Linked DNA regions of Oreochromis niloticus. Each later gene encodes a partner of the first gene's protein in a complex. Links are inferred from orthologs where the notes say so. Each region holds a gene or a part of one and is shown on either strand. Other genes may lie near its edges. The genes, in order: nsun4 and mterf4.

Region 1 (10,976 bases):
TTTCACCTCTGAGTGATGTCGATGCAAAAACGGACTCAATCCAGCTATAGTAATGAAAGCTGCGCAGATTCGATGTGAGAAGCCAAATGGTCAAAGAAGTCATTACCTGCCTGTTCATTATGCCCTCCTCTCACACAGCCATATATCGCATTATTAGGCAAAGCCATCAAACCTGATGAATAAGCAAAGAACAAGACAAGCCCATTTTCATTGCCGAGTTAAAGAGAGCAGGTAATTCTGATGGAAATTTGTGTTTTTTTCCCAAACCACAAACATCATCCCTGTGCAGCTGACAGAGTACAGGAGGACAAACACACATAGTGAAATTACAGCAGCATTTCCACATATATACACTCAGTGTCCTCTAGTGGACAAGGAAGATACAGGACGCTTGTGCTCTTGGTCTACTGTTGACACCTAGAGGGCAAAAATTAAACAGCAACTCATAAATAGCTATATATGAGTGGAGGAGACCTTTAAACAAAATGACACATCCTTCCTAATTGTATTCCTAATCCTCTGTCCATTGTTTTCTTGTAGCTATCGCCTTTAACTTATGATCAATTTTAGACAAACACGACTTTAATATTAATCTTTAATCACACTCAAAATGTGATATGAATGTACAGATGTACAGTACTGACTAACAAGTTATTAAATGGCTATTTGACTTTTTCTCACACTATCATATGCATATCCTGGCTGTGTGTCACATCTCTTTAATATGTCACAGTAGAAAAGATCTGTGCAAAGAACACTCTGGTACCCTCAGGTGAATTCTAGTGATAATGTAACTTTAAGTTACATTAATTTGAATTGTTTATGGATAAAAAAACCTAAACATCCACATCGTCAATAAGTTAATGCAGTGCAAGCTCAGTTTAATTATTCGTTTAACTGCAGTTTAGGGCTTCCGCATCAATAATGAGGACCAGCATGAATGATGAGGACATTGAAGGGACGGGTCAATGCAGGCCAGACTTTAGGAAGTACTCCTCACGTCCCTTTGAAACTAACAAGAGGTCATTCATCAGCTTGTGCAGCTAGTTTTAAAGCATAAGGACCCTACTAGCAAGCCGCAAAAAAGTGGATTAAGGATTAAGATAGGATATTGTGCGCTCAGAGTCACCTGTCCTCACTGATCCACTTCTGCACTGAGAAAAATCTCTTTCCTGTTCGTCTCATGCTTTACCTGAACAATCTAAAACTGATATTATTTACATTTGCTGTGTAGCCTGTAAAGGTGACCCAGCGTTAAGGCTTAGTAATCATATAGGACTGAGAAAACAGGAAAAAAGAGAAACGTCTCTGAGAGTCATGGCTGGCTCAGAAGGCTTCAAAAAGCTCCAGAACACAGTTATGATGAAAGCCCGGGTCCACCAGAAGCAGTTTGCAAATCCAGCGGACTCTAAATCTGGCAGCAGAGTTGCTCAGTATTTGAAAGTCTCAGGCGAACTTGTGCAACAGTCGACAGCCTACGTCAGCCTCTTTAGCTTGCACATGTAAATGGGTCCAAAGTTAGCTGCTAGGTGCGGGATGACCATCTCCCCCAGGTGGAGGTCCGGAGCGAAGTGGAAGGTGTTCCCGAACATCCGCGTCAGGGGCCTCAGATCCACAACCTGAGTGTGGATGTGATGGAGATATGATGAAATAAAAGAAAAACGGACAGTTATTCTAGGTGTAATTTCAGTTTCTTTGCGCCACCACTTTGATACATTTCTTATTAATACAAAAAAAGTGTCTCACTAACCTGTAGATGGATGCCATCTTTCTCTCGAGCTTGGTAGATAGCCTGTTCAACCACACTGAGGTTCTGGTTCTGTGAGAGCGTGCAGGTGGAGTAGAGGATCTCCCCACCAGGACAAGCGGCCTGGATTCCAGCTCTGCAGGATACACAGAGGGTTCAATTTACATTACATCTAAATAAAGGTTTTCACTACCAGCTGTTATTTTGCTTAATTGTGTGCATATTTATATGAAACCACAGAAGCTTTAACAGCCTCAAAGCCCATTTTGTTCACATTTCCACCAAACTTACAGCAGCAGCTCCAGCTGTAGCTGCGGCAGCCTGCGTCTCTCCCCAGTCCGACTCTTACTGAATATGTTGTTGTCGTCCTCCATGAGTGAATGTCTGTCTGTTGTGCAGGGAACGTCAACAAGGACCTGAATTTAGAGAAAAAAAAGGAAAAGCTGAACAAAACTAAGAGTTTTTGAATAAAAACATAATGACAAAGAGCAAAACATGTGAATAGGATGAGTGACAATGTGACAATGTGGCACTGGCTTACTCTGTCAAAAGTGTTGCTTTCAATTTCCCCCCATTTAGTGCCATCGAAGGAGGTGATGCGCAGGTTCTCATTTGTCAATAACTGCTTAGGAACATAGCTGTGGAGGACCTTCCTCAGTCGTAGTGTTCGAGACACTGAGCTGTCGTTTATGCACAAAAACCCTTCGACATAAACACAAAACAGGTGGAAGGTTAACAGCAGAGCAGCAAACACATAACCAGTAAATATAAAGAGTGATTCAAAAAACAAACAAACTGAAAAAGGGTAAAAGTAGTTTGACCTACTGATGGCCTGGGTCTGAAGCAAAGCCAGGGTCTTGCCTCCTGGAGCAGCACAGAGGTCAAGCACGCTGTGACCTTCTTGAACATCCAGTGCGAGACAGGGCAGCAGAGATGCTGCGTCCATCAGGTAGTAACCCAACAGGCTGTTCTTGTCTGGCCTGAAGAGGAGAAAAGAGAACCGAGGATCAGACTGCACGCTGGTAGAAGATGCTGTTGTTAGTAGCAGCATAGGAAATATTGCTCACCTTGCAGGCTTGAATCGTGTCACGTCGCCTCTCGGAAACACTAAACACTTGATGTTTGGGCTTAGAGATAGCTGCTCACCATCAACGTCAGAGCTCTTCATGGAAACATCACTAGGTTCCTCTGATTTTTCCTCCAAGCAAGAAGGAACTGCAAATTATATGCCAGTCACTAGATGATATAAGTGACTTTTTAATAGTGTTAATTACTAAGGTATTGACTTTTCCCAGTGAAATGTTTTAGCAAACAGTCTATTGAATGAATTTAAATCAAGTCATTCACACTCCAGTGCTATCTTCATAAAATTTTCTGAACTCTTCAGAGCATCAGAGATTGCCACAGCACAGTATTTCTGTCATTAGTAATAACCAATAACCATAACTGTGACTGTGACGGCTGGCACACTCACCCTCTCTCTCTCTTTCACTGATGAAATCTATGCATCCCTGAGCTTTGAGCTCTGCCAGAACAGCATTATGGGAGAAATTATTGAGCAGGGCTCCATATTTTCTCTCTGACAGCATGGCGAGTCGCACTGAGGGCCACAGCTGCCCCAGCTGGGTGCTGTAGGTGGCGTCAAAGTGATGCACAGCCAGTCTGGTGGGTGGGAGCTTGGGACGTGTAGCAGCCTGTCAGAGAGCAAAGGAGGACGACATTTAATATAAATGTTCATGTTTATCCATGCTCTCTTTGTGCCAATTTCAATATAAAATTTAAATTCCCAGGAGAGTGGAAAGCTGTCTTTAATACACGTAAAATTAGAGTAGACCTATAATGTACATCTGTGCACAAATATATGTACCTGACCATTTTCAGAGGCAAGTTTTCTTTTTGTTAAGCCACTCAACACTGACCTATGAATCATTCCAGAACAAAAAAGTCTCCTGTCTCAAAGGATGAACCAGGGTTGTATCTATACATAAAAAACAACTTAGCAAAGAACCAGTTTTAAATTGTATCTTTAGGCACTTTGTTACTGCCAGGCTGTCACAAAACACATCAACTCTTCCCATTTCTTTAGTTGAATGTATAAAAAAAATGCCAAAGATAAAACAGTTTGATAGACATAAAACAGCATTTTTGGACTGATTTCACCAAAGAAACTGGACAACTCGAGAAAAAAGGGGCTAAAACCCCCCAAACTATCTACAATGTGAACAGTATCTGAAAGTCATGTTGGGTGTTGGGGATCTCATCAAAATGGATGAAACTATGAACACACAAATGTATGGTCAAATTTTAATCCACTTTGCAACACATCTAGGAAGTGTCTGACTGGCAACAGGATAATAAAAGCAAATACAAAATGAATACAAAAACACAAAGTGGAACACTATCAGTCATGGATTGGGCCTCCCCAGAACCCGGATTTCAACGTTACTGAAGCAGTGTGGGATCATCTTGACAGATAACAAAACAAAAGGCAGCCAACATCCAAAGATGAGCTCTGAATGTCCTTCAAGAAGCCCAAAGAACTATTTCTGAAGATTACTTAAAGAAATGACAATAAGCTTGAATAAAGATTAGGATCTCAATACTGTGGATGCTTAATCAGCATCCACACTAATAAGAGAGTTCCTACTGTGCTGAAGAATAAAGGTGGTCAAGGCAAATATTGACTTTCAAGGTCGTTAGACCTGTACAACCTCAGAGTCAGAATACTTTATTAATCCCTAAGGAAATTATGTGGGTTACAGTTGCTCCAAGACAGTAACAGACTAAACTATTTAAATAATATAATATGTTACCGAGTTTACAATTTTTTTTTTCTTTTCGACTGTGTTTAGCAGCTACACGAGATCTAAATGCAAATACTGTCTGGTATTATTAACGTCAGTTATTTATTTTCCTTTTCTTTAATTCCTGTCAGTCATCAGATTTTTTTCAGGATGCCTGCTCTGTGTTATACTTATACAAATGCTTTTTTCTATCTTCCCGTTGAGCACGTACCCATTTCTCTTTCACTCGGTGTCGTCTGGGTGTCAAACATCTTAAATCTTTAACTTTTCTTAACAGCAGGCTGGTGTCCCAGAGCAGCGCCATCTTGCCGTGCCCCAGCTTTTTTTCCGTCCGACTTTGCGCTGACAGTTAAACAATGGTTCCGCATGCATTGAGTATTTGAATGGGGTAGGCCCTGACACAAAATGGAGATCTGTTATTGGTTCACTGGGACATCAATAATTTCAGTGAACCAATAAGAAACGTTATCCGGTGATCCTTCTAGTAGTTTCCGGCGTGTGACCGACCTCGCGTCCTCAACCAGAAGTAGTGAAACCGAGGAGTTTCAGCTTTCTGAGTTTTATTTTGTAAAATTGTCAGACGTAACCATGGTTTTCGAGAAAAAAATGCTCACACACGGGGACCCCGACGATGAGGTACCGAAAAATATCGTATTGTGTCTTTATAGACTGGTCTGTGTGTGTGTTTGACGAAGTTACCCAACTCTGCTGCTCATCTTAGCGGTGTACCCTTCGAGTTTACTGTCAGCTCCTTTTAAGACTTTAAATATAATTATCGGCATTAAACGAGGCTGGCAGCTGAAGGTGTTTCACATACTCTACAATACTTTGAGAGACTGCTTATTTTAACTGTGACTGATTCAGTGCGTTTCTTTCATACGGCACAGTTTTATGAGGTGATTACAATATCTGGACATTCTTCAACGTAGTTAATAAAAATGTACACAAAACTTAAAAAAGCCCTATAAATCTGTAAGCTGTGTTGGTTTGTAACTGGATTTTAAAACATTGATATAAATGTCTCTAAATAGGAGGAAGATGCCCCTGCTGAGGAGGAGGAGGAGGAAGAAGAGGAGGAAGAGTTGGTGGTAATTATTTATTTATTTATTTATTAATATTTATTATAAAAACATGTATTCTGGTGATAAACAGCTTTTTATGTAGGACAAAAGGTTGAAAAAAACCTCAAGCGCCGATGGGTTACTATTCAAAGTCTGACTGATTTATCGGCGGGCCAGTATTATCAGACGATATTACCTATGTGTCTGTATATTGGTATCAGCAAATCAGCAAACGACAAATTATTATTTAAAAAAGACAAACAAAAGAAACACCCTTCTCCTATGGTATAAGTGTTGATGAATATTTTGCCCGCCAGAGGGCACTCTGCAGCTTCCCTGCTGGCAAAACTTGTTTGTTACACCACAAACACAATAACCAGTTGATCTGAGCAGTGTAAATAAGTTAATTAAAAAACCCCCAAAATGCCAGTAATGGATATTGGAGATCTCTGTTTGTTTTCTGTGTTTGAAAGGAAAAGAAATGTATCAAAATACCAGATTTTTACATCTCCATATATATGTATAGGTCTTAAAATCTTTACTGTAATGACCAAGGAGACTTGCATGTTTACTGGAAGAGCTAGGAATGGAACTATGGCTGTTGAGATGAGCATAGTGGTGCACAACAAGGTGAGTTTAGTGGCTTAGTGAGGGATCTCAAGCTTAAAATCAGAGTTTTATATGCTAGGATATCAGCTCTCTGTGTACCTGGTAACTTATGCTGAAAACATATAACCTAGTCTGGAGGTGATCTTCAGAGTTGTGAGTTAAAATCAGTTTGAAGCATTTTCACTGACTCCTGTGCATGTATTCATTTGGTGATGCAAAACATGTATAAATGTTTTATATTTTGTTTTAATCTGCTATTAAGTCTCTTTTGTACTGATAGTATTGCACCTACTAGAACACAGAACACACAGCAGAATAACTGTTCAAACATTCAAATTAATTTCACTTTGATCTGCTAAAATAATAATGCAATTTCCACATTTTCATTATTAGGCTGTAGGACAGTAACCATCAATGTTTAAATTGGGGCGATCGTGGCTCAAGAGTTGGGAGTTCGCCTTGTAATCGGAAGGTTGCGCAAGGTTGGGCAAGACACTTCACCCGTTGCCTACTGGTGGTGGTCAGAGGGCCCGGTGGCGCCAGTGTCCGGCAGCCTTGCCTCTGTCAGTCCGCCCCAGGGTGGCTGTGGCTACAATGTAGCTTGCCATCACCAGTGTGTGAATGTGTGTGTGAATGGGTGGATGACTGGTTGTGTAAAGCGCTATACAAATACAGGCCATTTACCATTTAAATGGATCCAGTTTAAAATTTCTGAGCGCAGCCATGATGTTAGAGATAAACGGCAGCACAAACACAGAGGTTTGTTTTATTGCTCTGTAGAGTAAATCACTTGATTAACATTTTTCTACAGAAATAATAAACAGCTTTGCATTTATTTTTTATAGATTTTAATCATGCTTCTGATGTAGAGGAACACTCATAGGGATCATTTTGAGTCATATGATGCTTCCACAGCATGTCTTTTGTCCCGTCTTCCTTCTCTCACCCCAACCGATCGCAGCAGATGGCTGCCCCTGACCCTGACCCTGGTTCTGCCTGAGGTTTCTTCCTGTTAAAAGGGAGTTTTTCCTTCCAACTGTCGCCAAAGTACTTGCTCATAGGAGGTCATATGATTGTTGGGTTTTTCTGTGTGTATTATTGTAGGTCTGCCTTGAGGCAACGGTTGTTGTGATTTGGCGCTATATAAATAAAATTGAATTGAATAAAACACCCCATTTTATTTGAGCACAAAGAAAGCCTGGCTTATTAAACCTCTAACTTCATTATAAAATCACCTTCATGGTTTGAGAGTTGTGGTTTTCCTACCAGAGTTTTTGCCATCATTTTCCTGATGAATAGCATGGCTTCCTTTCTTTTTAGGACCCTTTAGAAGCGATAAGAGCTAAGTGTGAGGAGACTGAACACTGTGTGCACTACAAGGAGCGTCTGGAGCTCTGTGAAGCCCGGGTCAGTACAAGGTCCAACACTGAGGAGGAGTGTACAGAAGAACTCTTTGACTTCCTGCATGCGCGGGACCATTGTGTAAGTGTGCAATAGACAAAGGAAAGATTATTCTCCTAGTGATGATGCTCATTGTGCCATCTTCTGTCTCTACAGGTCGCACACAAGCTGTTCCACAATGTGAAATGACAATCTGTCCAGTAGACCCGATATGATTTCTGATAATGTAAAATAATCCACAAATGAAGCCTGTTGTTGTTCTCCTGAATTTCCTTGGACTACGTTCCTGACACCTGTTTGTATGCAGTGCATACTAATATAGCTGATAGTGACTCTTGATGTCGATACTGCTAATAACATATTGGAGCATGCACTCTAAAAATTCGTATCAAGAAGGGATTGGCTGTAATGAAAATGTGATGAGGTGGAATGTTAAAGTATGCTGCTACAGTAATGGAAACCGGCTCAGGTTTGGTCATAACTTCACTCTGCTGACCAGAAAATAAAGGTTGTCTTTGGATTCCACTTAGTCTCAGCTGCTTCTTTTCAAAGCGTCTGCATCCTCAGACGTGGGCTCCATGACTGATGGTTTAATTAGTTTTATCCAGCCACCAACGCTAAATGCTCTCACTGATGTTTACGGTAACACAAAATTGGTCTCTGGTTGACGGCATTTCTATTTAATGGCGCATGCACAGGAACACTCGTCCCACGTTTGGAAGTTTTGAAAAGCAGTTGAGGTAAAAGTTAATTGGCTCAGAGCATTTTTTTTCTCCCCACAGCTTTAACACAGACACTGTTAATTCCCTTAGTTCATCCCAAAACGGGTGGGAAAATGTAAGGAGTGGATGCTGCCACTCAGTGACTAAAGGCAGCAATAGATTTTATTTTCTCCTTGAGACCTGTAAAGCCAAGGAGCGTCATTGTTTGAATTCAGTGTTTTTCCTCCCTTAAATATTAATGACTGATAAAATACTTCACGCAAATAATTTGGCTAAAATTTTATTTGAATACATGCAAAAAATAATTTAAAAAAATAAGCTCTGAAAAAAAAAAGTACAGTGAGCAGATGGTGGCAGTGTGACTCCAAGTAGAGATGGTAGATTGAAGTCTCAAGAAAATAAGGTTAAATGGTGAAATAGCTCAATAACTCATGCACATAGTGCATATCATTAGAGTGGATTTAGAGCCAGCCTCACCATGCATTTTCTTTATTGTTGCTAACAAAGTCTTCCATGGAGGCCTGCAGAGAAAAATGAGGACAAAGAAGATCATAAGTACAGCTGGTGAATGAAGTTTTTCCATCCACAGCACTCCAGTGTAGTTTGATCCATCTCACCAACTCTAGGGAAAAAATGAGCTCTCCAGATTATTTGGTTATTTGGTCTCATTTTGTTCTGCTTAACATAAACTTAACGTTGAAGTGAAACTGCAGAGCTTAACATTAAACCATTGCTGGGCAGCTACTTATATGAACATGAGAAAGTGATAAAAATGAAAATGTGAGATATGAATCAACAGCTAAGGTAATATTTGGTAATATTTGCCCTCACCTGCATGAGCAACCTCTCCTTCCTCAGTTTTCTGTAGAAGAGGAGGACATCTGGGTCTGCCCGGACCACGCGGGGGTCAAAGTCCATGACCCTTAGACCCTCGAGGTTCCGAGCCCGAGACAGGGCCACGTAAGCCTGGCCGCTCTCAAACACACGAGCTAAAGAGATTTCCACACAGTCCAGCGTCATTCCCTTCAAAACAAACATGACAGCCATCATTGTTAAATAAAAACAACACATGCACTGATGGAAGTCCAGCATTTGAAAAACCCAAAAGCTGACTACTCAAACTACTCACAGGTCTTAAAAAATAAAATTAAAAAAAAGGTTGGGACAGGGCCATGCTTGCCACCATGTAGCGTCCACTCTTCTTTTAGCAACAGTCCATAAACATCTGTACTATGAAGAGACCAGCTGCTGGACTTTGGGGAGAGGAATGTTTTATTATTATTGTTATTATTATTATGTTTTTTTATACCCAATAATGTTCCTGACCTGATGTTCATCCAGCTGTTTCTTTTTAGTACCACTTTTCCAGCCTTTGTTGCCCCCAACCTTTGAGACATTTGCCACCCCCATCAAATTCAGCATGAGCTAATACTTTTCAGGACATGGTAAAATGTCTCCGTTTAAACATTTTTAATGTGTACTTTTTGATTTGTTGCGAATAAAATCATTTCATTTTTTAATTTTACAAGATCCCAGCTTTTTATCAAGTGGAGGGAAACACAACAACAAAAATATATAATTGTTTAGTCTACAGTATAAGATTGGTGACAGGCCAGGAGCATCAAACTTTCAAATTCACCTGACCAGCGTATACACCTCCAACTTGGAATTATAATTTATTCAGGTCACCCATTTCCCCTGTGAGGACATTGGTATGGAATCAGATTTTTATACCCTTGTGCCCTGACACGTCTGCTGTAGATCACTGGCTTGCACTTATTGGTCATTACCAATTAACCCAATTATCCAGAGGTGACCCTTTTACCTTTAGCTAGATTCTCAGATGGAGGTCAGGATATTGACTGTGTCAGTGCAGCAGAGCAGAAGATTGGTGATTGTTGAGTTACAGCTTGTGGTTAGATTGGGCCTCTATAGCAATTTCCCCTCAAATAGAATTGTTGCACTTAGTCTTGCCTAGCTTGGTTTTCTCTGCCTGTTATACAATCATTATAAGATTTAAAATGGCCAGTGGGACTTTTTATGTGATACTGTTGTTTTTGTGCTTTGTAGGTGGCACACAGAACAGTGAGGAAGGGAGAAAACAAGAGAAAAAGGAGGAGAGCAGACCCTAGTCTGACCAACTCTTTAACACAAATTTACTCTACTTGCTCTCTGTTAAAATCTCAGAAAATGAAAAGATGATTTAAAAAAAAAAATCTTACATTTATAAAGATATTATTCTGGTATATTTTAAGATGTGAAAAGAAAACCAAATTAGTGGTGTGTCAAGCCAAAACAACTTGTTACTTTTACAATCTGTTTACTAATGTCAGCCATAGACAAAAAGTCTTTGAAATCAAGCTGTACATTCAGAACATGTTAAACAGAGGAACTCTACTTCGCTCACAGTGACAAACAGGAATCTGTGATCGACTGATTTTTAAATTGATCACAATGTGAATTAATGTTTTTTAAAAATATGTCAGCGATTGTAGCGATTACGTTATGTAGTCTTTACTGCATAGCCACCACTGTTCCATTTTTTTTAAATAGTCCAAACTAATAAAAATAAAAGCAATAAAGATATTGGATGGAAAATATTTTCATGTAGTGGAACATAGAGTAAATTAAA
Region 2 (10,704 bases), about 3.3 Mb from region 1:
ATAAACAGGCAAAGACTTATTCACTCAATAAAAATGTAACTGCAGGGATAAATGAGCTGAGAGTTGAGGCATTCGTTCTTGTATATGCTATTACCAGTGCTTGTAAGGTGAAGTGCTTTGTGTTTTATACTTGCAGCATGCTCCAACCCCATAAAGCAAGGCATCCACAACATTGATCCAGAACATGTTTTTGCGTCTACATTTTGATTTCCTAGGAGACACTTCAGATACATTTTCAGTAAATATTTTGCCGTTGCAGTTTGCCTGTAGCTTTCTTGTGTGATCCAAGTTGGCATGGAAAGAAAAGAATTGGATTGAAACAGCCCGTCTTTCCTCAGGGCCAATAACACTGCAGAGCTGATGGAAGAAGCAGCTCAGGTAGCACCATGCAGTAGCCAGCTAGACAGTGTGGATACTACTCAGGCACTCCTCAAGACATTTACCTGGGTGGAACTTCCAGATGACGACACCTGCCGCTCTGTTCCCACTGAACCATCGCACCAAAAGAGAGAACAGCAGCCGGGCAGTGAGGTTCAGAAAAAAGATGAACCCGTCCCTGAGAATATCCCAGGTGTGACGTAGCTCTGCTGATGTTTTCTTTACATAAATGGAGCTCAGCTATAAATACAATGTACAATGAATGTTCTTCTTCTTCTCTAGACTGTCCTGCTGGGAATGGACATGCTGTTGATAAGATCAATGACAAACCTGATGTAGGAAAAGATCACCGTTCATCTGCCTCTGTTTTTGAGGAATCGAGCTTTGAGGTCATCTCAATGGAGAGCCGGTGAGGGGAGATATTTTTCAGTATGTGGGTAAAATGAGGCCCTGAAAGCGTCTGACGTGCCTGGTTGAAACTTCAAAGAATCTAAAGATGCTAATGAGAATGTCAGCGCTCGCAGTTACGTATATCATACTTTAAAATATTGCACAATGGCAGGAAGAAACAGACAAGTTTCAGCCTGTAGCTTAGAAATGCTGTCTCATTGATATTTTTGGCGTCTTTAGTGGGTCAGCACCTTTTTCGACTGTGTAAGCCTTTTTCAATTGAGCATGCCTCCTTTTTTGTTTAGTTAGACTTCAAAGAAAACTAGAAACATTCATTTCACATATCATTTGCTATACTAACACCTGGATGTGTTTCTCTGTGTTTTTAATACAGTATTTGATTCCACTGTCAAACATTTATTCATTTCTTTGCTTATTTCAGCTTTAGACGTTTCCTTCCTTTACAAATATATTTTTCATGTATTCATGTAACAATGTTTTGCTTTTTCTAATTTCCTAGGTCTTCTTCTGGCTTCTGTGAAAATTTTGCTGGCCACGGTGGTTCTGATCCAGCCCAAGCAGTGGACTCAGCCAGTGTCTTTCTGGACCTAAACAGCAATGGTGATCTGGTTACCCGGGCCCTAGCAGAGCTAGACCTGGGCGGTAATATAGAGCTGCTCAGTGGCGGAGGAGGCAACAATGACAACCAACACTCTGTGGCATCATGTGATACGGCTGAGCTCCTGCGGACTCCCTCCCCATGCATGGTGCTGTCTGACCAAGAAGCGGAGCCCAATGAGCCTGGGGACGCTGCTGCTGTGGAGGCCAGAAACAAATCAGCTGATAAACTTGAAAAGCATAAGGATGAGCAGGTTCACTGGGAAGCTGTCTCTGCAATTCATCAAGGAAAGGGCCAAGAGGGCTGTGAACAAGTGAATACTGGGATTCAGTCACTGACAGATATGCCTGCCACATCAACTCCCAAGAAACAGAAGGTATATGGACACAACCAGTCCTCAGATGCCACACGTATAGTGGAGGGGCGATTTGAAGGAAGTGGATACCACAGAGACGGCACGAGAATAGGTTGGTGTTAAACTCTTTACTGTACTTTAGATTCCTCCTAAAAATCAAATGCAAAGCAACAAGTATTTTTCTCTCCTTGTGTGCAGATGTGCTGTGTGATGTGTGCGGGACTAACCTCCCAGACGGAAGCTCCATTTTCTGCGTGTGGATGTGCAGACTCAGCCAGCAGGGGGCGTTGTCGCAAATGGATCAATCACTGCACGACCAAACAGCAGGCAGTCTAGGAGAGGTCAGTGGCTGTAATGATCTTAAGTCTAGGTCAATAAAGCATGGTTTTTATCTTATTTATATTTTAATTTAAACTTCATTAGAGGCAGTTGTGCTTTTAACTTGGTGATCATTTACTCGTTTCTTCATGAAGAGGATTGGTGAGGCCAGTCAGGGGGAAGCATTGCGCTCCACCATGGACCTCGAGCAGTCTAAAGCCTGTGATGGACAGTTTGAAGAAGAGTACAAGCCGATCAAAGCTGTTGGTAAAGGAGCCTTTGGATTTGTCTGGAAGGCAGAAAGGCGCTGCGATGGGCAAGAAGTAAGAAAAATATTTGGGGGGTTTTTTTGTTGTTGTTTGTATATGTAGTTTTTTTGTTTAGTGTTGTTTTTCAGAGGATGATATTATGACCTATTTTAAAAACCTACAGGTGATTGTGAAGTTCATCAGCAAGACCAGAATAGTGAGCGACTGCTGGGTAGACGACCCAATGTTAGGGCGAGTGAGCCAGGAGATCGCCATACTGACCCGAGTGACGCACCATAACATCGTTAAGGTCGCCGTGTGGTTTGCATCACATGACCCTGTCGCAAGTTTCCAAAATAATGTGTTTTTAATCGTGAACTGTGTTGCTTCACCTCATACACCTGTGTTGGTGTCACCAGGTGCTGGAGGTGTTTGAGAATGGGAGTTACTTTCAGATGGTGATGGAGAAACACGGAGACGGTTTGGACCTTTTCGAGTTTATAGACAAGCAGCCGAGGCTCGATGAGCCCCTTGCCAGCTACATATTCAGACAGGTACACGCACAGGCAGAACAATACAACCGTGTCAGGAGAGTGGGCTCATAAATGTGACATGAAGTGTTGATTTGTTCCTTGTTAAAATGCAGCTTCTGTCTCTTCCCAGATTGTGGCAGCGGTCTTCTATCTGAGGACCAAGAACATCCTTCACAGGGACATAAAAGATGAGAATATCATAATCGACACATGTTTTCACATCCGACTGATAGACTTTGGCTCTGCTGCTATAATGACTCCTGGGAAGCTCTTTTATCATTTCTGTGGCACCCTTGAGTACTGCTCCCCAGAGGTGCTACAGGGAAATCCGTGAGTATACAATATCTGTTAATTCTCTTTTTTTCTTTTTTAAAAAAAATGTATTTTATTAAACTTGTAGGTTAAATAGCATCCTTATGTTTAAAGAAGTCACTTAAATTATTGAATCTGCATGCAGAGTCTAGTTAAGAGTTATTTTTACAGTCCTAGATTACATTTATGACCCATTGAACTCATAAATTGAGCTCTAGAGTATTCAATTTTGAGAATACACCATCAGCACTGAATTAACTTGCTAATAATTATAGGCTTCTCTCATAAGTGGGCTTCTTTTTGTAGCTATGAGGGTCCAGAGCTGGAGATGTGGTCTTTGGGGGTTTTGCTCTACACGTTGCTTTTCAGCGAGAATCCCTTTTGTGACGTGGGTGAGATCCTGGATGCCAAACTAAATCCCCCGTATCATCTCTCTCCAGGTACACAGCCACCGCTTGTGATTTCACAAAATATGATCCTTTGAGTTTATAGAGAAGATTTTGTCCAGTCAGATTCTGAAGTTTTTCTGTGTATTCTCTCAGAGCTGGATGATGTATTACATGGGCTGCTTGACCCTAACCCAACTCACAGAATGACTTTAGACCAGCTGCTGCTGCAGTCCTGGATCAGCCAGCCCATTTCTCTATCAGAGTACACCTGGGCAGAGGTGGTTCCTGAAAATCTGAGCTGCTGTGAGTACTTTTAAATGGTACTGTTGGACTAGTAGGTGTCAGACTTTTTCTGATATTCCCCACCTCAGGAGGTGGAAACAGTTTATCCCTTACACCTCTTAATACTCATCACTCTGCAACAATAAAATAAGTACATAAGCATCAGGCCACTTTGATATTTTTTCCCCTTGAAATGTAACAGAAATTCAACTTAGTTTAACTTCATATTTTTCCTTTTCCACCTGCACCACAGTTTGAGAACCTGTAAATTAAACTGACAGTCGTTAGCTATGTTTTAATATACTGGGGCCTCTGATCTTTTTATCAGGTTTACCACAGCACCAAGAATCCAGTCCTAAGGCGTACATCGGGCAGAGCTCATTTTCAGACGGTGGGGATGACACTCTGCCTGAGGATGACGAGGAGGAAGATGAGGATGAGAGGTTGGAGATTGCAGCCCTGAAATCGGAGCTGCATAAGTACCTCGTTGAGGATTAAAGACTCTGCTTAAACAAAGTGAAGCCTTCATGCGAACTGTCAAATCACCTATTTTATCTCGAGTCACTGAACAAAGATATGAATGTTGAAGAAAAATGAAGTGCGTCTCAATAATGGGACGCTGCTGCCGGGACTAAATATGAGAGAAACAGACTTCTGACTTAATCATGGGTCAGTCACACTGTGCTTGTTTCTGTGTTCAGGATGTAATCTGTTTTATTTATTTTCTGCAGTTTGATGAAAAATTAAAGCAGCAAAAAGAAATTGTGACAGTTTAAAGTATCACCCAGCTTTACTACAAAAACACAATAACTATAAGCTGTTACCTCAGAGAAATCACACAAACTCATTAAAGTTAAAGAAACTCTTGATCCAGCTTTTTTTTTTTTTTTAAATAATGGGCAATTTATATTCATTGTTTTATTCTTGTATATTTTAATTAAAAGTGTAAGAATATCTGATATTTATCTATTTATTTTTATACATCAATAAATGTATTGCCACAAGCATGTTCTCTTAAATCAGGTAACTGCTACTTAAATTTATATCCAAAACACTAAATGACTGCAGTACTTGTTGGGGACACATTTATCAGGTTCCCAGCTGGTGTTAAAGCTGCCAGATTAACAGCTGCTGTTATTTACAGGCTGCCATTTCCTTCACAGACTTTCACGTTATTTCAAAGTAGAGAGGAGGGTGGTACTGCAAATATTTCATCATGAGTACATTACACTAGCTACAGACTGTCAGCTATTCCAATAAAGTTGAACATTTATTTTCACTGTGTATTTGTGAAGATATGAGTTCCTGAAAAGTCCTTATAATAACACTGAACCATTAAAAAAGCCCAGACTTTACTTTTTTTTATGTATCCTGATTGCATTCACCATGCTGATTCTCATCTGAAAATATGTTTTGTAATTGAAAATGATTAACTCATGACACTGATAACATGAATTGAGCACCATAAGCACCATATCATTACTCAGGGCAGGAAAGCGCTGCCAAAAAGTGCCCTAAAGTCTCTATTTAGACTGTTAACTTGATGATTCTTGAAATACAATCTGTCAAATACATCAATCACGAATTATATCAAGCAACTTTGAGGCACAGTGCACAAGCTGCAATTAGTTTCTGGTAAAGTGACTTTTGAAAGTGTCATTGAGGTTAAAAATGTGTTTCCAAAAAGCACTGAATTTATTAGTACAATCACGCAGAGTCATAAGGCTAAAACAAGTCATTTCTTTATTTTATATGTAAACCCTAATGACTGCGGTCTATTTACAGATAGAACAAAGATATTAGACACTTAAAAAAAACATTGAGAATCACTTTTTGGCACGACACAGGTAATTTAATTAGGAAAATGTCTGTCTTATAAGATTTCTAAATCATGGTCACACCATCATATTTGATTAGCCGAATATATACCAAAGACTGTAGAAAAAAACTGTTTTCTACAGTCAATGATATTTACACACATAGCGGAACCTTTGTACTCTTTAAGTTGGAGGACGGAAATATTTCGATAACGGAGAAGCATGGGAACCCGTGTTGCTGTGAATCAGGTGAAGTATATATACAAACTATGACGATTTAGTATCTTTTTCCTCGAAGCAGAAATAATTAAAGGTGCAAGACTTTTAACTGAATGGACCCCTTAGTAAAAAAAAAAAAAAAAAAAAAAAAGGAACGAAAAGACTGACATTTATAACCTTCACGTCTGCTAACTTGAGCTAATGATAACGGTGGAGTTTGTTAGCATATTTTCTGCCCCCTCTACCGCTGCTGTCTGTGAGGGTTTTTAAAGGCGTGTATTTTTCCACAGGTACTACGGTTGGCTGTGAGAAATGCCACCATCTCTACACTGTGTCCGCGTCAGTTTGGGAGATACTACCTCCAGTCCAGATGGTGTTGTTCCTCTACCAACCAGGCAACGCAGCACAATCAAGACTTGAATCCTCCGAGTGGGATTCCGGTCACTGAGCTGTCCCTGCGCTCTTTCATTGATATGGGCTTCACAGAGAGTCAGGCAGAGCAGATATACGAGTCTCTGGCCAATGTCAGAAGAGGAGATTCTGCCAAACACATCCTACCAACCCTCACAGCTCTGTTTGTCTTGGGCCTCAACCCGTCCAGTGTGAAGAAGTGCCTGGAGAAATGTCCTGAACTTTACACCATCAAAGAGGCGCAGCTGCAGCAGCGCATAAGCAACCTGCGGAAAATGGGCTTAGTTGAAGGTAAAGTGTTGCCTTTGCGCAGTTTTTTTTCTACATTAGATCAAGCATAAATTTACTGAAAATATATGAAACCCGCATTTTAATCTATTTCTCCGTAGGCAGCCTTCAGAGGGTGGTGGCCCATTACCCCAGGATCCTGACTGTGCCTTTGAAGAGGGTCAAAAATGTGGTGATGTTTCTCAAAGAGAAGTGCCTGTTTACTTCCCAGCAGGTCACAGACATCATCAGAGATTGTCCAGCAGTGGTGCTGGAGAACTTGGATCAGCTGGAGTACAAGTTTCAGGTGAGCAAGTGAATCGTGTTTGCTGCTTTTTGTTAGGTTTTGGTTTGGATTGTCAGACAAACCTGGCCAAACAGACCTTATACTTGGGTTCTGTGTATTCAAATGTATAACAATCAATGGTTACCATATTCTTTACATAAATGATGCAAATGTGAATTCCTAGATGTTTTGAATAAGTTATAAAAGATGATAAGCACAGTGGGCAGATACTCAGTAGCTCCATTCCAGTAATAATAGACTGAATGTTATTTGTGTGTATATAATTTTTTTTCAGATCTGCATTTTATAATCCTGTGAGCACTTCTGCAGTTCTCTTTGTACAGTGCAGAGTGGGACAGTGTGCATCCGCATTGCACTTCCCCACATGAAAGCACACCGTCCTTAAGATCAGCTCAGAGTTTCAGAATAGGAGTATCTCCTGTCCACACTTTTATATGTTGTCCACTTAAAGCTGTTGTCAAACTGTGTACTAACTGTGTTGACCAAATGTACAAGCATGTGTTCTCAATATCACTACAACATCATAGTTTTTGTTTTCACTTTTCACTCTACACGCTTCATTGTTAAAACCCTGGCGTGGCTAGGCGTAAGTGCTGACTTCAAACACCGTCAGATTTCCATACTTTCTACTGTAATGAAGATAAACTAATGAGTGTGGAGACTAAATCTGAAACTGCGTGAAAGAAATTTAACTGTTGACTCACACCTCGCTACAGAAAGGAACAAACATGGTTTCTATCAGGGTTTCTTCTGCAGTTCACTAGAGAACTGCTCAGTCTATAAGAAGTCTGATATGGGCTGTATTTTAAAATACATAGTTGGTGCGCTGCTCCTTCCGAATAACAGCTAGTATTCCCGAAGTTTTGTTGTGTCTGTTTCTTTGTAACAGCACATTTTACCTCCTCTCTCCACAGTACGTCTACTTCAGAATGGGTGTCAAACAGGCGGAGATGGTGAAGTGCCGACTGTTTCGTTACAGTCTGGATGAGGTCCGCTGTCGACACACTTTCTTGGAGCGACGGGGCCTCTATGAAACCCCGGACAAGAAAGGACAGACGACGATCATCAACCCCAGTCTGGACAGCATCCTTAATGTTGACCAGGACACCTTCCTCGCGCACGTCGCCCAGGCATCAGCAGAGGAGTACGACGTGTTTAAAAGACTGGCAGCCAGGGAGTGGCAGGAAGAGGAGCTGCAGCAGGGCAGGACTGAACCTGATAGTGACGATGAGGACGACGATGAAGATGTAGACGATGATGACGATATAGAAGCAAAAAGTGGATATGGGAAAAGGAGAAAGAAGTGACTGCTTGTTGAACCAGTCTTTGTTTTTTGCTTTTTAGGGAAGTTCCCTAGATTATCATCTAAACCACCCATGGGAACACAGGAAGAGCCTTTTGTTATGGTTTATGTTAGTGGTTTCATCAGGATGTAAGACATGAGGACGTTGGTGTGAGACTGTGGGTCAGTTCTAACTTTGGGTGAGGAAAAATGTCTCCCACATAATCTTTTTGTCAAAGTGTCAATAATATTTTTGAGTTTCCTTCATTGAGGGCATAAATTAAATTAATTTCAGAAGCTTGACTTGTGAGTCGCATTGAAAACAGGAGATGACTGCCAATCCCTTTAAGTGAGTTTTCGAATAAAGTCAAATAAATTCTTGAAAACCAATCAGATTTACTGGGCAGAAAACACTTTAAAAGCTACGGTGTGGGGAGCTCCACCTTGTTACTATGTGACAGCTGAGTGTTTGTAGCTCTCTGCAGCCCCTATATTATCTCTCTGAGTCAACAAAGAGTACATTCAGAAAGAGCTGTCCAGTGAGATGAGTGCTGCAGAGCACCGTTTTATTTATTTGAGCATTAACGGATGCACACCACAGGCAGGTTTTTCCATTTTTGAGCCTCAGGTAAGATCACTCACCTTTGTTCAATCGATAATTTGTCAATAAATACGTTTATGTAGTCATTTCTGGGTTTAGTTTTGCTCTTTTTGTTCAGTGAGTACAAATTTTGGTTGGGAACGTGGTTATCACGGTTGTGGTATTCAGCTTAGTTATTTTTATTTATTTTTTGATGAGTGAATCATGATGTGCACCTGATTTGTGAGATTTCACATGAAGAGAAGTAGATGTTCAGGGTCCATTGTTGAATATTTGTTCATATTCGAATTCTGGCAACAAGCTTCTGGCTGCTCATTTTAATTATTAAGTAGACTAAAACAATTTGACTGGACTGTAAAATGAAAATTGCATGTTAAAAAGCCAGCGCATTAAAGCATTAGACATTACTACTTTTTTTGGGGGTTTTTTTGCTTTTGTTTTTTTCCAGCCTGCAGCCTAACAAGGTTATCATTGTATTAAACACACACAGAGATATTATTCATGTAGAGATCACATTTGCTCTTTGCTGCTTGTGTGAAGATTTGCAAATTCCAGCTTTTACGCAAATGCATAAATATAACATATAGTTTGCTTATTCAAGTAGAGACTCGAACCATATTTGCATTTAGTTACAGGTGATTTGTACAGTTTCTTACCTGCTCATCCAGTTCAAATTCGCTGGGTGGATTAGCGTGGGGGTGTATCCCACTTTTAACTGTAGTGCGCTGTGGACAATGAATTATGGTGTTTTTCTTTCACAGGACTTGGCTGGAGAAAGTAGGGACTGGGCTCATAAAACACGCCTGTGTCGCCATCTGCACTTCCTCCGTGACTCACAGGTGCAATGACATCACCGATACCAATTTCAAACATCACGCAGGAGTGGGTGGAGATTATGCAGAAGTGGCACCTGGATTTGTTTTCCATCCCCACAATAGTCCTCACTCTTGCCACCTTGCTGGCCAGCCCTGTTCTCCTGGTAAGCATTTTCCTTTCCCGTGCCCTGCGCCAGGAGACACGTTACCTGCTATTGGCCAACATCCTGGTGGCAGACCTGTTTTTGGTCCTACTCAACCTGGCCATGGTGATTTGTAACGCCTTGAGAGCACCAATGCAATGGTTGGGTTGTGAGCTGGTCACAGCTCTCACCGTCACCAGCTACTGCTGTGCCGTTTACACGGTCACGCTCATGGTGGTCGACACCTATGCTGCTGTTCGCTGGCCTCTCCGTTACCGTGACGTTATTCCACCTTCCCGCACCTACTGCATACTGGTGGGGGTGTGGGTGTTAGCAGCCATATACCCTTTCACAGTGATGATCAAGACACACATAGCGAGTGGGAACTCCCATGAAAAGCTACCCGTGTGTCTGGTCCTCATCTCCCTTGGATTCATTCAGGACAGGAACGTGACTGGGATCTACATCTACTTCTTCGTAGCTGCACTCATGTGTTCACTGCTCATTTCTTACTGCTACATTCGCCTCTACATGATAACGAGGACACAGGGAATCTGGCATAGCCGCTTCTCCAGGGCCAGGGTCACCCTGCTGGCCCACGGGGTTCTGCTCCTGCTCTACTTTGCCCCCGGCTTCCTTTTTACCCTGGAGCTCGTTCTAATAGACAGGAAAGACATACCTCAGGATGTTCGCGTGTGGGTCTCCACAGTCAATATGTGTGTTTTTATGTTGCTTCCCAGGGTATTTGCTCCTTACCTGTATGGGATCAGGTACAGAGAGATCTCAGACACAGTAATGCTGCTGCTGCTGCACCAGCACAGGAGACTCAGCCAGGCCACAGCTGCGTAAAGAACTGCTGTGTTTCTGAACGACTTCTAAAGGGTCAGACTTTTATCTGCATGATCTGTAAAAATGCCAAGAATCAAATTGTCATAGAGAAACACCACAATTTATTTTATTTTATAGTTTAGTCTGTAGGAGTTAGATTTCACCGAATCCAGAACTTAGACTCTGTGTT

The links.
Region 2: the proteins of nsun4 (region 1) and mterf4 are in contact, whole or in part, in a crystal structure (PDB 4FP9), measured with the Homo sapiens proteins. The link is inferred for Oreochromis niloticus from reciprocal best matches to the Homo sapiens genes NSUN4 and MTERF4. Residues at the interface, in NP_950245.2 of Homo sapiens: Pro61, Ser62, Arg64, Val65, Leu68, Ser69, Glu70, Arg136, Gly137, Asp138, Ile139, Arg141, Asn367, Leu368, Met369; in NP_872307.2 of Homo sapiens: Tyr267, Glu269, Arg270, Leu271, Gly272, Arg273, Glu311, Glu312, Val315, Phe316, Lys318, Leu319, Arg322, Glu323, Glu326.

The regions. Positions count from the first base shown.
Region 1 is NC_031982.2:11,041,386-11,052,361, forward strand, and holds the start of nsun4 (5-cytosine rRNA methyltransferase NSUN4), read right to left. Parts: upstream 4,971-10,976; 5' UTR 4,856-4,970; coding exon 4,763-4,855; intron 3,442-4,762; coding exon 3,222-3,441; intron 2,963-3,221; coding exon 2,815-2,962; intron 2,728-2,814; coding exon 2,573-2,727; intron 2,450-2,572; coding exon 2,289-2,449; intron 2,164-2,288; coding exon 2,039-2,163; intron 1,884-2,038; coding exon 1,751-1,883; intron 1,620-1,750; coding exon 1,476-1,619; 3' UTR 1-1,475. Other genes in the region: cytochrome b-c1 complex subunit 6, mitochondrial, read left to right, coding at 5,140-5,187, 5,583-5,639, 7,542-7,703, 7,779-7,811; ATP-dependent DNA helicase PIF1, read right to left, coding at 8,818-8,865, 9,176-9,367. UniProt on the Homo sapiens protein: Mitochondrial RNA cytosine C(5)-methyltransferase that methylates cytosine to 5-methylcytosine (m5C) in various RNAs, such as rRNAs, mRNAs and some long non-coding RNAs (lncRNAs).
Region 2 is NC_031982.2:14,335,503-14,346,206, reverse strand, and holds mterf4 (transcription termination factor 4, mitochondrial), read left to right. Parts: upstream 1-5,737; 5' UTR 5,738-5,863; coding exon 5,864-5,890; intron 5,891-6,150; coding exon 6,151-6,562; intron 6,563-6,660; coding exon 6,661-6,845; intron 6,846-7,759; coding exon 7,760-8,152; 3' UTR 8,153-8,998; downstream 8,999-10,704. Other genes in the region: pask (PAS domain-containing serine/threonine-protein kinase), read left to right, coding at 339-571, 661-787, 1,289-1,854, 1,941-2,083, 2,216-2,383, 2,493-2,618, 2,728-2,862, 2,972-3,171 and 3 more; probable G-protein coupled receptor 148, read left to right, coding at 9,573-10,535. UniProt on the Homo sapiens protein: Regulator of mitochondrial ribosome biogenesis and translation. Binds to mitochondrial ribosomal RNAs 16S, 12S and 7S and targets NSUN4 RNA methyltransferase to the mitochondrial large ribosomal subunit (39S).